Ovis aries: one gene and its partners. The protein of the gene in region 1 purifies or fractionates together with the protein of each later gene. This does not show direct contact. Links are inferred from orthologs where the notes say so. Each region holds a gene or a part of one and is shown in the gene's direction. Other genes may lie near its edges. The genes, in order: SEC13, KLHL12 and NUP160.

Region 1 (3,647 bases):
GTTTGGTTTGGTTTGTGTGTGTGTTTTTGTGTGGTTTTTTGGTCCCTTCTTATTCTTTGAGCTTGGCTTTTTAAACACCTATACCCATTGCATTGAGAAAGTACAGGGCTACTGGAAACCAAACCCAGGAGGTGACTTGGCACATGTGGGAAAGTCCCAGGGAAAATTTGAGAAACAGCAGTGTTGACAAAGTCCATCCCTGAAACTGGTGTGAGGAAAGGGACCTGGGAGACTCCTGACCAACCTGAAGTGCGTTCCTGGGCTGAAGGGATACAGGCAGGGACGCTGGGCTGGAAATTGGTTGTCAAAGCTGTAAACACCCAGGAGGTCTACCCAGGAGGTCTTTGGCTGTGGTTTGCCCTGATTCCCTCCCCGTGTTCCTGAAAAGGTCCAGTACAGATCCAGGTGGAGAAGATGCCACCGGGGAGGACTGCCGCCCCCACCTCCTGACCCGGGCCTTCTTTCCCCAGGATGGCCGAGTGTTCATCTGGACCTGCGACGATGCCTCGGGCAGCACGTGGTCTCCCAAGCTGCTGCACAAGTTCAACGACGTCGTATGGCATGTCAGCTGGTCCATCACAGCCAACATCCTGGCGGTCTCAGGTGGAGACAATAAGGTCAGTTCAGTCACTCAGTCGTGTCCAACCCCATGGACTGCAGCATGCCAGGCTTCCCTGTTCATCACCGACTCCCGGAGCGCGCTCAAACTCGTGTCCATCGAGTCAGTGATGCCATCCAACCATCTCGTCTGTGTGGTATTCAAGCCTCCCACCTCTTCGCCAGCACCTAGCAGCCCTCATTTTGCTCTCTGTCTCTGAATGGACCATTCTAGGACCTCCTAGAAGTAGAATTGTAAAGGGTTTGATTTTGTGAGTGGCTTGTTTCACTTAGCATAGTGCTGTTGTTGTTGAGGCACATAGCTGATTTACAGCGTTGTGTTCATCTCCGCTGCACAGCAGTCGTTCAGTTATACATGCTGCTTCCGTGTTCCTTTCCATGGTGCTTTGTTACAAAATACTGAATGGAGTTCCCTCTGTTCCGTGGTAGGACCTTGTTGCTAATCCATTCTGTGTATAACAGCTTCCATCTGCTAATCCTGAATCCCCAATCCTTCCCTCATGTAGACCCCATCCATCTTGGCAACCAGAAGTGTATCCTGTCTCTGGGAGTCTGCTGCGTAGATGAGGCGGTGGTCATGCCTCTTGCAGTCATGCTTTGCTGTGCCTATTCGCCAGAGACTGAAATGGCCCAGTAATATGTCTGTCTGTATTTTGAGGAACCACATTCTGTTCTCAGTAGAGGCTGTTAGCCTCATTGCACTGCTATCAGCATCTTCCAAGGGTTCCATTTTCTCTGAACACTCTTCCTGTATTTGTTATTTCTACACCTTGATTTAAATTTCTGATATTAGGTTGAATATCTTTTTTCACACTGTGAGTAAAATGTACCTTTTGAAATTACCTTATTAACAGTGGGCCCTGTTTTCATTACCTACCCAAAGTCTTTAATTGACAGCAGGTATCATTTAGAAGCAAACACGTCTTTCGAATATGACCCTTCCTTAAGCACTGGGTTTAAAGTTCTTGTTATAGAAAATGACAACAAGGAAGCAGCCTCTCTTCCTGACCAACTGCGGTTACTGCAGCTTCCAGAAGCTCAGGAAAAGCCGTATTCCCGGGCTGTCAAGGGGACAGTATGCGCCAGCACACACACTAAAGGGCTTCCTCCTCCTCTCTCCCTCCTCGGCAGCCTTCAACACCCAAAATACCAACCCCTGCCGAACCCCAGCACATAGGTGGCTGACCGACGTGGGTGGACTTGAGTCTCTGGACAGACGCTAGAGATGGGAAGCCCTCCAGCAAGACCTCTTCCCGCCCAGAGGACTCACCTCTTGTGGGCGCACTCGGTGCGCTTAACGCTCGGCATGTCCCACATCTGGTGCTCCGGTGCCTTCCGCAGGGACCGGACACTCCGGTCCAGGAGGGCGTCGTTGCCGGCCCCTCCCTCCCAGCTCCCTCGGCCCTCGCCGCCCCAGCCTTGGTTCCCAGCCAGCTCGGGCTCCAGGGATGGACATCACCCCAGGCTTCAGAGGCCTCATCGCAACACAGTAGATAATACTCTCTGAGGTTTTTCTTTCTTCCTCTCTTTTATCTGGACGTTTTGTTGATTTAGTGTCATGTCCGTTTCAGACTGCTGGGTGCTGGTCCCCTCTGCGTGTGCACATAGCTCCTCTGGAGTTCTTTCCCTGGATAGCTTAGGACAGTGCTCACTGGGGTTCTCTGCGCTGCAGTAGAGTCTTGTCGACTGTCTCCTTTAGTGATGGGAGTTATAGAATCCCAGCCTTCCCATTTATCTGCCCACCGTACCCTGCACTAACACTTCCTTGTTTTTCTTTCTTCACTGACACGCTCTTTCAAGTTCACCTATAACAGTGTTTGGATTCCACCTATTATTGAAAGCATAAAATACTTGTGTGTCTGTGTCTGGATTAGATAATTCGTGCGGTCATCTCTGGGTTTATCCACATTGTTGCAATTGGCATTATCCGTTTGTTCCTAGACATGAGTAATTATTCCAGAGTATATCTATACTACGTTTCTTTTTTACTGGTTCATCTGTCATCAGTGTTTGACATTTTTCTGTTTGTAACTAATGGTGCGGTGAACACTGGCGCGCAGGAAATCTTTTCATATTTGGTGTCTACAGGCCCTGTGACAGCAGGTCTTTTTCTCAGTTGACTGTAGTCGATCTCTTGTGAATTTTTGACCGACCTCCATCATGCTCTGCCGAGTAGGTCTGCCAGTTCCGTTCCCCCGGCAGAGCAGGCAGGCTCCCTTCCTTCCGGGTGCTCTCTGGGGTCGCCTCTCACACCGTAAGGATTGTCCTTCTGTAGGGTGTAACGGGATTCCAGGTTGGTGTCCGGGTGACTTCTTTCTGCTGATTGGGAATGCAGACCATGTCTCTCTGTACTAAGGTTGACAGCAGTGGAGGAAAATCTTTCTCTGCAACCCACTACTGGAAAATGGGTCGTTTGGAATTCTTTATCCATGAGCTACTAAGGTAATGTTTCTTGAAGGCAGCTGTCTTCTGCAGCTCCCAAGGGCCTGGTGAATTTGAACTGCCTGAAACCACGGTTTTAATGAATTATTTTGGGCAGTGGCCACAAAGTGGCAGCGTTTCTTTGCCTGGCTGTAGTCAATCTAGCTTCCAGAACCCTAGGGGACAGCATGTCCCTGGGCTGTCAAGAGACTGACGGGTGCGGCACAGACACCCCAGGGTTCTCGTCTCCTCCCTTCCCTCCCCCTTGCCCTTCACTCCAAGAGGTGCCAGCCCAGGAGGCCGCAGTGCCCTGGCGCTGCCCAACATGCGTGGACGGAGGCTAGAGAAGGGGAGCCCTCCACAGAGGCTGCTGGTGGAGACTTGGGCTCTTTTCATGCCTGTCCGGCCCAGAGGACTCAGCTCTTGGGTGAGCTGGGTGTGCTTGAGCCTCTGCCTGACCCAACCGTGTCTGACGAGTGTGCTGCCTTCCAGAGGGAACAGGCGCTCAGGTCCACGCGTGGGTCATTGCTGGTCCCTCCCTCCCAGCTCCTCCAGCCCCTGGACACGCCAGCCTTGTTTCCCGGCCAGCTCGGGCTTTAGGAGTGGAC
Region 2 (4,332 bases), on another chromosome or scaffold:
ATTCTCCTGTCTGCCACGCTCTGATGGCACAACAATGCAGTACCCTCTGCCTAACTGGTTTCGAGATTTGCCCCACATTCGATGTACTTGATGTAGAGCTCCACAACACATCCATGCTTCCCTTACTGAAACCCTTCAGTAGCTGTCAACACCCAGAGTCTTCCCAGGCGTCCAAACACCAAGGCAGGGCAGTGTGTGGAACCTGACTGATCCACTCACCTCATCCAGACACAGCCCTCCAGCAACGGACCTAAGAACTCAGAATCAGTTTGGGCTGCAGGGTACCGAGTCAGATATCCAAAGTTTAGGACGGTGTCCCCGTGACTTGACTCAAAACATGTTAGGGCTGTACCCTTGAAGAAAACAGAAGCAGCCTGACTAGGCCCCTCGGTGTGTTGGCTTTCTTGCTGGCAGTGTCCTTGCTTGCAGCCAGGAATTAGGCAATATCATTAAAGCAACTAGATGCTATTCTGCAGCCAGAAGACAAGGGGTTGTTTTTATTTAAATTATACATACATTAAGTCCACATGATGTAAAATTCAAAAGGGACAAAAATACGTAGAGGAGAAAATCTCTCCCACCCTGTCTCCCAAACAACCAGTTCCTCTCTCCAAAGAAATTTCTGTTGCTACTCTACTTTGTATCTTTCCAACTGCAATTTTTATACATATACTGGCAAATATGACTGTATCTTTCCCTTCTACACAACTAATGGCAAAGAATACTCACTGTTCACAACTTCGTGGAATTGAATTGTACGGCGGCACCACACGTTACTGAAACAGTCCCCAATCCAATCTACAACCTTGTACACACATCCTTTTTCATGTGTGTGAGAATATACAAAGGATACATATACCCAAAAAATCGCTGTTAAAGGATATCTGCATTCATCATTCTGGCGAACTTTTACAAAATGCCCCCAGTAAAACCTGGATCAGTCCTGCACTCAGAAATTCGGAAATCAAGAGCATTTTAGATCAGAGATACTACATGAGAGATGGAAACACTACACAAAATTAGACTACGATACTGCCACCCGCTTGGCCATAGTTTTATTATCCCTGAAGAATCAAAGGCACCACAGTGGAAAACGGTACACTCAAGTACAGCTGGTTTGAACCTGCAAAGGAACAGTATCAAGAAACCTCATTCCCTTCCCAGGCGCTGAGATAAGTGCGCCAAAACCAATCAGAAGCAAAATTTCTAGCAGAACGCTCAGCACCCAGGAGCTGTGAAAGGCAGCAGAAGCGGACAGGGGGCCGGAGGACCCCCGGGACGTCTAAGGTCCTTCGCAGTCTCCCTGGCGGAGTCCCGCCTCCAGGGCCGCACGCCCCTTCCACGTAACTGTCTCGGAGGGCAAGCAGCAGAGAACCGCGCGGCGGTGGCCACAGACGCGACTGTGACGCAGAGAACGCCGAGGTCCGTGGTCGCGGGGCTCCGGGATTCTCATCACAGCGATGGTCGGCCCGAAAAGGCCACTGCGGACTATGGACGGGAGGAAACGGGGCGCCTCGGTGGGTTTCCTCGACGTGAGAGGGCGCCTGAACGCCTGTCAGGTGAAACGCGCCCTGCGGCCAGCTCCCTACCTTGGACACCTGCGCACTCCTCTCGGGTCTCCGCGTCTTGAGGCCCCAGGGTCGGTGGTCGCAGGGAGTCTCGGCCGCGGGCCGCACCCGTGCCGGGGCCCGCGCCCCCTTCGCGCCGCGTCCACCCGCTCCGCCCAGGCCCGCCCGCGGCGCCCGCAGTCACGTGACAGCGGCCTCGCACGTGACGCGGGCAGGCGCGACGTCATCACGGCGCGCGGCCGCGGGCGCGGCGCCGGAGCCTCCGGGTCCGGGCGGCGGCGCTTGGGCACCTCCCGGGCCGCCCGCTCGCCCCGCGCCCGCCCGGCGGGCCGGAGCGCAGGTGAGTGGCCCGGGGGCGGCAGCCGGTGCCCTCCCCCGCCGCCGTCCCCTCAGGGCGGGCGGGGGCGTCCAGGCGTCGAGCGCCGCGACCTCCGTCAGGAGGCTGTCGGGGAGGGGGGCGCCGCTGCTGTTGTCGCCCGCCGGGAGGCGGCCCCTCCAGCGGGGAGCTCGCGGGGGGCCCCGGACCAGGTGCCCTGGGGCGGAGCGCGGCCGGGGACCCCGGGAGCGGGCAGCCGCACGCTGGGGCCGTGTCTGTCTGACGCGCAGAGCCGGCTCCGACCCGCCGCCCCAGGGTCCTCCCCGTATAGCGGCGTCCGTGCGGGCCTTTCTCAGTCTCCAGAGTTGAAACGAAGTTGACTGCAGGAAGGCCTTTCTGGATATCGTCTTACGCCTGGATGAGCCACCTCCTTTCCTGTAGAACGGGTCCTGTGGAGTGGCTGGAGACCGTAAAGAATAGTGCGCTACCCATAAACAGGAGTAGATGAGGATTTAGGGGCTCGTTTTCCCTTTTCGTATAAAACTATGGTTGTGAGTTGTGGATTTTCGAAAAGCATAGTTTGATTTGATTTTCTTGGATCCTTACAGAAAATTTTGGATTCCACATAAGACAGACTCTTAGTCACCTTCCAATTTCGTTCCCCAGAAATTGTCCTTGAAGCAAATAAACAAAAATAAAATAATAACTTAACTGAAGCTTGTCAAAAATCAAGAAATTACTTCTATTAATTTTTTGACGTGTAGCCTGTTACTGAGTTCATTTAATTTATGCATACAGTGAACTTTACAAGTAACTGGCTGTGGCCATAAAATTAGTAGTAGTGTTTTGATACGTTTTCTATCCCAGTAATTCTCTCATAGTATAGAAGAATTACTACAAATACTAATTTGTTAATATTGATGAATGTATACTAATAGTTAGAGTAGGTGGACTTTCTATAGAACTTCAGTAGCTTAAGCTTGCATGGTCTCCATTATTCAGTGTAGGTACTGCATCCCCTGGAGAAGGATAATGGCATCCCACTCCAGTATTCTTGCCTGGAGAATCCCCGTGGACAGAGGATCATGGCGGGCTACAGTCCATAAGGTCACAAAGTGTCGGACATGACTGAAGTGACTTAGCATGCAGGCATGCATTGGGTCCTCATTTGAGGTTTCATTTTAAGAACAAATCCAAATATAGTTGGAAGTCATCATAAATAATTAATTGGGTGCTTCTTTAGAAAAAGTTTATTTTCACTGATACTGGCCCTTTTGCTCTAGGTTGAAGGTGCAGTTCCTTTCTTGCATTCTGTTACTGAACGTTTATTATACACTTGCTGGGAGAGAAAAAAAAAGATACATATATATAAAACTGGGTCCCCACCCTCTATAAATATTCAGCTACTTAATTTCCTTTAGGGTATTAAAAATAGTGACATCACACCTTTAAGAAATTGTATCTTCTGACTTTCACCGTGAGAGAGAGCGGCCTTGTGAAGATAGGTGAGAGAGGAATAGTCTCTTTCTCCTTGCAGCAGGGTGTTGGCGGCAGTTATGTCGGGTGGTTTGGGCACTCCATGGCAAGGGGAGTTCAGAGGGAGGAGGGATCCGATTTACTCAGGGGAATTAGTGGCTGGGTTGTGTTGGTAATGCCAGGAAGAGGCGTGTGCTCTACCTGTGGATGTTTGAGTCTGATGGCGCCGCCTCTGTTTGTAAAGCTAACTGAATATATGCAGTGTCCCCAGGCTTTCACACGTGCTCCCTGGCTTTGTTTCTTAGAGAATTCAAGGACCCCTTTCACTCGCTCTCCACGCTGCTTGATGAGAGGCATCATGGCTCCCAAGGACATGATGACAAACACTCACGCTAAATCCATCCTCAACTCCATGAACTCCCTCAGGAAGAGCAACACCCTCTGTGACGTGACGCTGAGGGTGGAGCAGCAGGACTTCCCCGCCCACCGGATCGTGCTGGCTGCCTGCAGCGACTACTTCTGCGCCATGTTCACCAGCGAGGTACGTGGTGGACCGGCTCCTGACAGGTGGAGCCCACACAGGCCACCTCGTGGGCATCTCATTCCGCTGAATGAGACAGTGGAAGTTCTGTACGATTGTGAGTCGCTATAGCCTGGTGTTCAACGGCAGACTCTGGATAACATCTGCCATTTGACTGTGCGTTAGTTTCCTCATCTCAGAATGAGGAATGATGGTAGTACACCATTTCACATGGTGTTGTGGCAGTTACCTGAGGAACTTACATGTGACGTGCTTAGAACAGTGTCCAGCATGTAGCAAACACAGATGTCAGCTATCGGATTTTACTTACCAGTGTTTTAATTTGTTTTCCTGTTTTGTTTCTTCTAAAGTGTAACATTGTGAAGACCAGGGAAGAGGGAGGCGGGAAGGAAAGAGGAGCGAGAGTCCGTCCTCACCCCACTCCCTCCTGC
Region 3 (3,647 bases), on another chromosome or scaffold:
CGTGCTATTAAAGTGTCTGTGTAGTTGCATTTTGACAGTGTCAAGTAGGCATTGAAATTTATAGGTTCAGAAGAAAGACCTGTGTTAGAGGTGCAAATCTCATTGATTTCAGAAATATTTTTGAGTGCCTAATATGTTCCGACACCAGTGCTAAAGAATCTCCCTGCCAGTACAGAGGATACAAGAGATGTGAGTTCGATCCCTAGGTCAGGAAAATCCCCTAGAGGAGGGCATGGCAACCCACTGCAGTATTCTTGCCTGGAGAATCCCAGGGACAGAGGATCCTGGCAAGCTCTGTAGGGCTTTGGGTTGCAAAGAGTCAGACTGAAGTGACTTTGCAGACACACAATGTGTTCCAGTGAATGTTTAGGGACTGGGAACATAGCAGGGAATAAAGCAGACAGTCCTTGCTCTCAGCAGAAGCTGATCAATAACAGTAACCCCAAAAAACAGTAGTTCATCAGGTGATATGTGGAATGGAGAACAGGGAAGGGAGAAGGGGAATTATTATGTTTAATATTTCACATAGGGTAGTTGGGCAAGACCCAGTGATAAGTTAACATTTGAGCAGAGGAAATAAGGGTACCCAGGGGGTGAGATTTCAGGTAGAGTCTTTGAAGAAAAAGGGCAAAAATCCCGAGACAGGAGCTTGTGTGTTGTTTTCAAAGAATGGGAAAGGGCCAGAAGTCTGCCTCTTGAGAGAATGAAGGATGGAGGAATAAGGTAGCCAAGGGGCAGATTAGGGCTTTGTCAGTTATTTCAAGGCTGTGACTTTTACTTTAAGTGAGAGGAGGGTTTTAAGTGAAGAAGTATTATGAATAACAGTGTTTTTAAAAGGTGCTTGTCTGCTGTGTTGAGAACAGAGTGTAGTAGGAAGGGATGGGAGCAGGGAGGCCAATTAGAGGTTGGTGCCACAATCCACACAAACGATGGTGGCGGCTTACAATGAGTTTGGTATTGTTAGAGGCTGTGAGAAATCTTCTAATAGTGGATATGCTTTAAAACTATTTTGTTAGAATTTAGTGTTGGATCAGATGTAGGGTATATAGAAAGGAAAAATTCAAGGGTGAACCCCATGTTTTTGGCATGAGCAACTGGAAGTTACAGAGACGCCATCCATGAGTTGGGAAAGAAGTGGAGGTGAAGCAGATGTTTTCCTGGTTTGCTGGGTCCAGGAATTCTGTTTCGGACAGGTGTAGTTTGAGATCCCTGATGTACAAGTGCAAGTTTGAGGCAGTAGTTAGGAGGTGAGTGGAGAGTGTGGGCTGAAGAAGATACAGATTTAGAAATCATCGTCAGTCAAAGCTGTTAAACCAAAGGTGATCGCCCATAGCAGTGGTCCGCAAGCTTCTTGGCACCAAGGACCAGTTTCACAGAAGACAATTTTCCCACAGATCTGGGGTGGGGGGACTGGTTTCAGGACGATTCAGGCACATTACATCTGCGGTGACCTTGGTTATTGTGACATCAGCTCCACCTCAGATCATGAAGCGTTAGATCCTGTAGGTGGAAACCCGCTGACAGAGAGGAGAATCGGGTAGTGCAGTAGATGAGATCTGGTTAGGACACGGCCAGCATGGTGCTGTCTGTGGTTCTGAAGCTACCGCATAGCAGAGGTATACGTGAGCAGGAGTCTCTTCCTGCTTCCTAGCAGGAGGAAGCTTTAGAAGGGACTTATAAGATCACTGTAGTTTGATGGCTATAGTGATTATATGTAGAGGCCATGTTACACTATAAGTTGTGAGTGTGTGGTGTGAATTTTAATCCTAGTGGAGTTTAATTGAATTGACTATTGTTCTAAAGGTTTCCCAGGTGGTGCTAGTGGTAAAGAACCCGTCTGCCAATGGGGGAGATAAGATAGACCTGTGTTCAGTCCCTGGGTCGGGAAGATTCCCCCTGGAGCAGGGCATGGCAACCCACTCCAGTATTCTTGCCTGGAGAATCCCGTGGACAGAGGAGCCTGGAGGGCTGCAGTCCATAGGGTTACAAAGAGTCAGAACTAACTAAAGCGACTTAACACTTTGTTCTAAACATACTATCAAGTTTGGAAATGTCTCCATTTAACAGAGAATCATATAATAATAGTTGAATTGTATATAATGCTGTGTTTTGTAGACTATACAATGTGGTTTGGAATGTCAGAATTGATTTGAGTTTGCTTATCCAAAATTTTTGAATTAGAGTTCACCTGAAAACTATTGTCATACATTTCCATGCAACAATCAGAAAGAAAAGTGTAAACTCTTTTTTTTGTTGTTTTTTACAAATGTCTCTTTTTAATAGGAAAACCTCTGGAGATACATTGGAGCTGGTGGAAGAGTCACTGGACATAAATCTGTTGAATAATGCAGTTCGCCTCAAATTCCAAAACTGCGTCCTTCTACCCGGAGGAGTTCATGTCTCTGAGACTCAGAATCATGTGATGATCTTGATATTGACCAATCAGACCGTGCATAGATTGCTTTTACCACACCCTTCCCGGATGTATAGGAGTGTAAGTTGGTTAAGTATAATGTCCTTTATTTCTCAGATTACTTGGTCGCAAATTTAGTATTAGAGCAGTGTCCTTTGGAACTGAAGAAAGGATGGATTCCTGGCTAGCCCTAACCAAGCACACTTCCGTGCTGGCATTGTTGTTTAGTCGCTAAGTCATGATCGGCTCATTTGCGACCCTATGGAATATAGCCCGCCAGGCTCCTCTGTCCGTGGAATTGCCCAGGCTCTTCTGTCCATGGAATTACTGGAGCGGGTTGCCACTTCCACCTCCAGGGGATCTTCTCCACCCAGGGAACGACCCCACATCTCCTGAATTGCAGGCAGATTCTTTACCGAGGAACTGCTGGGGAAGCCTCATACTTTCCTAGTTACTATTTAAAATGATCAAATACATTCTAAGTTGCAAAAATAGTTTTATTAAAAAGAACAGCTTCTTTTTTCAACTCAACAATTTTTTACTTTAAAAACATTGATAGCAATTGGGAGGAACTGAGCAAAATTCATTTATTTTGTTTTTAACAGATTTTTCTTTTTCATTTCTCCACAGGAGTTGGCAATCGAAAGTCAGATGCAGTCAATATTCACTGACATTGGAAAAGTTGATTTTAGGGATCCTTGCAACTATCAGTTGATCCCGTCAGTGCCTGGCCTCTCCCCTGGTTCTGCCGCCTCAGCAGCCTGGCTGAGCAATGATGGGGAGGCTCTGTTTGCTCTGCCATCTGCCTCTGGGGGGATCTTTGTTCTTAAACTACCTCCTTATGACGTACCTGGTAAGAACGGGAATGCAACATGGATTTAATTTCAAACAGATACTGGCATTAAGACAGATGTTAGAAGTCCAGGGCCGTTATCCAGTGCAGGAACTGCTTCCAAACCATCCTAAATTCATTATTACTTTCCTAATGAGTCCCTAACACTTCACAGTTTTTCCCAAGAGGGTGGGATTTTATACGGTGAATGAGGAACTGCAGCTTACTGGAATATAGGAAAACAGGTGGCTATAAGGTGGCCTATTCTAAGGCCTTTAGTAGAGATGAGTTGCCTGATGTCTGTTTTCAGTTTGAGGTGCTGTGACTAAAATAAGTTTAACTGAAACAAGGAAGCTCAGTGCTGCTACCATGCTCCAAGTTACCACCTTCTCTTACCTGAAC

The links.
Region 2: the proteins of SEC13 (region 1) and KLHL12 purify together in Homo sapiens (affinity purification with mass spectrometry; 3 studies listed by BioGRID and IntAct, with this or other methods). This does not show direct contact. The link is inferred for Ovis aries from reciprocal best matches to the Homo sapiens genes SEC13 and KLHL12.
Region 3: the proteins of SEC13 (region 1) and NUP160 purify together in Homo sapiens (affinity purification with mass spectrometry; 4 studies listed by BioGRID and IntAct, counting the BioPlex papers as one, with this or other methods). This does not show direct contact. The link is inferred for Ovis aries from reciprocal best matches to the Homo sapiens genes SEC13 and NUP160.

The regions. Positions count from the first base shown.
Region 1 is NC_056072.1:54,305,166-54,308,812, reverse strand, and holds part of SEC13 (protein SEC13 homolog), read left to right. Parts: intron 1-470; coding exon 471-818; 3' UTR 819-3,647. UniProt on the Homo sapiens protein: Functions as a component of the nuclear pore complex (NPC) and the COPII coat. At the endoplasmic reticulum, SEC13 is involved in the biogenesis of COPII-coated vesicles.
Region 2 is NC_056065.1:79,286,530-79,290,861, forward strand, and holds the start of KLHL12 (kelch-like protein 12), read left to right. Parts: upstream 1-1,390; 5' UTR 1,391-1,517; intron 1,518-1,793; exon of another isoform or gene 1,794-1,908; intron 1,909-3,305; exon of another isoform or gene 3,306-3,389; intron 3,390-3,665; 5' UTR 3,666-3,706; coding exon 3,707-3,901; intron 3,902-4,251; exon of another isoform or gene 4,252-4,332. UniProt on the Homo sapiens protein: Substrate-specific adapter of a BCR (BTB-CUL3-RBX1) E3 ubiquitin ligase complex that acts as a negative regulator of Wnt signaling pathway and ER-Golgi transport.
Region 3 is NC_056068.1:76,487,675-76,491,321, reverse strand, and holds part of NUP160 (nuclear pore complex protein Nup160), read left to right. Parts: intron 1-2,283; coding exon 2,284-2,494; intron 2,495-3,043; coding exon 3,044-3,266; intron 3,267-3,647. UniProt on the Homo sapiens protein: Functions as a component of the nuclear pore complex (NPC). Involved in poly(A)+ RNA transport.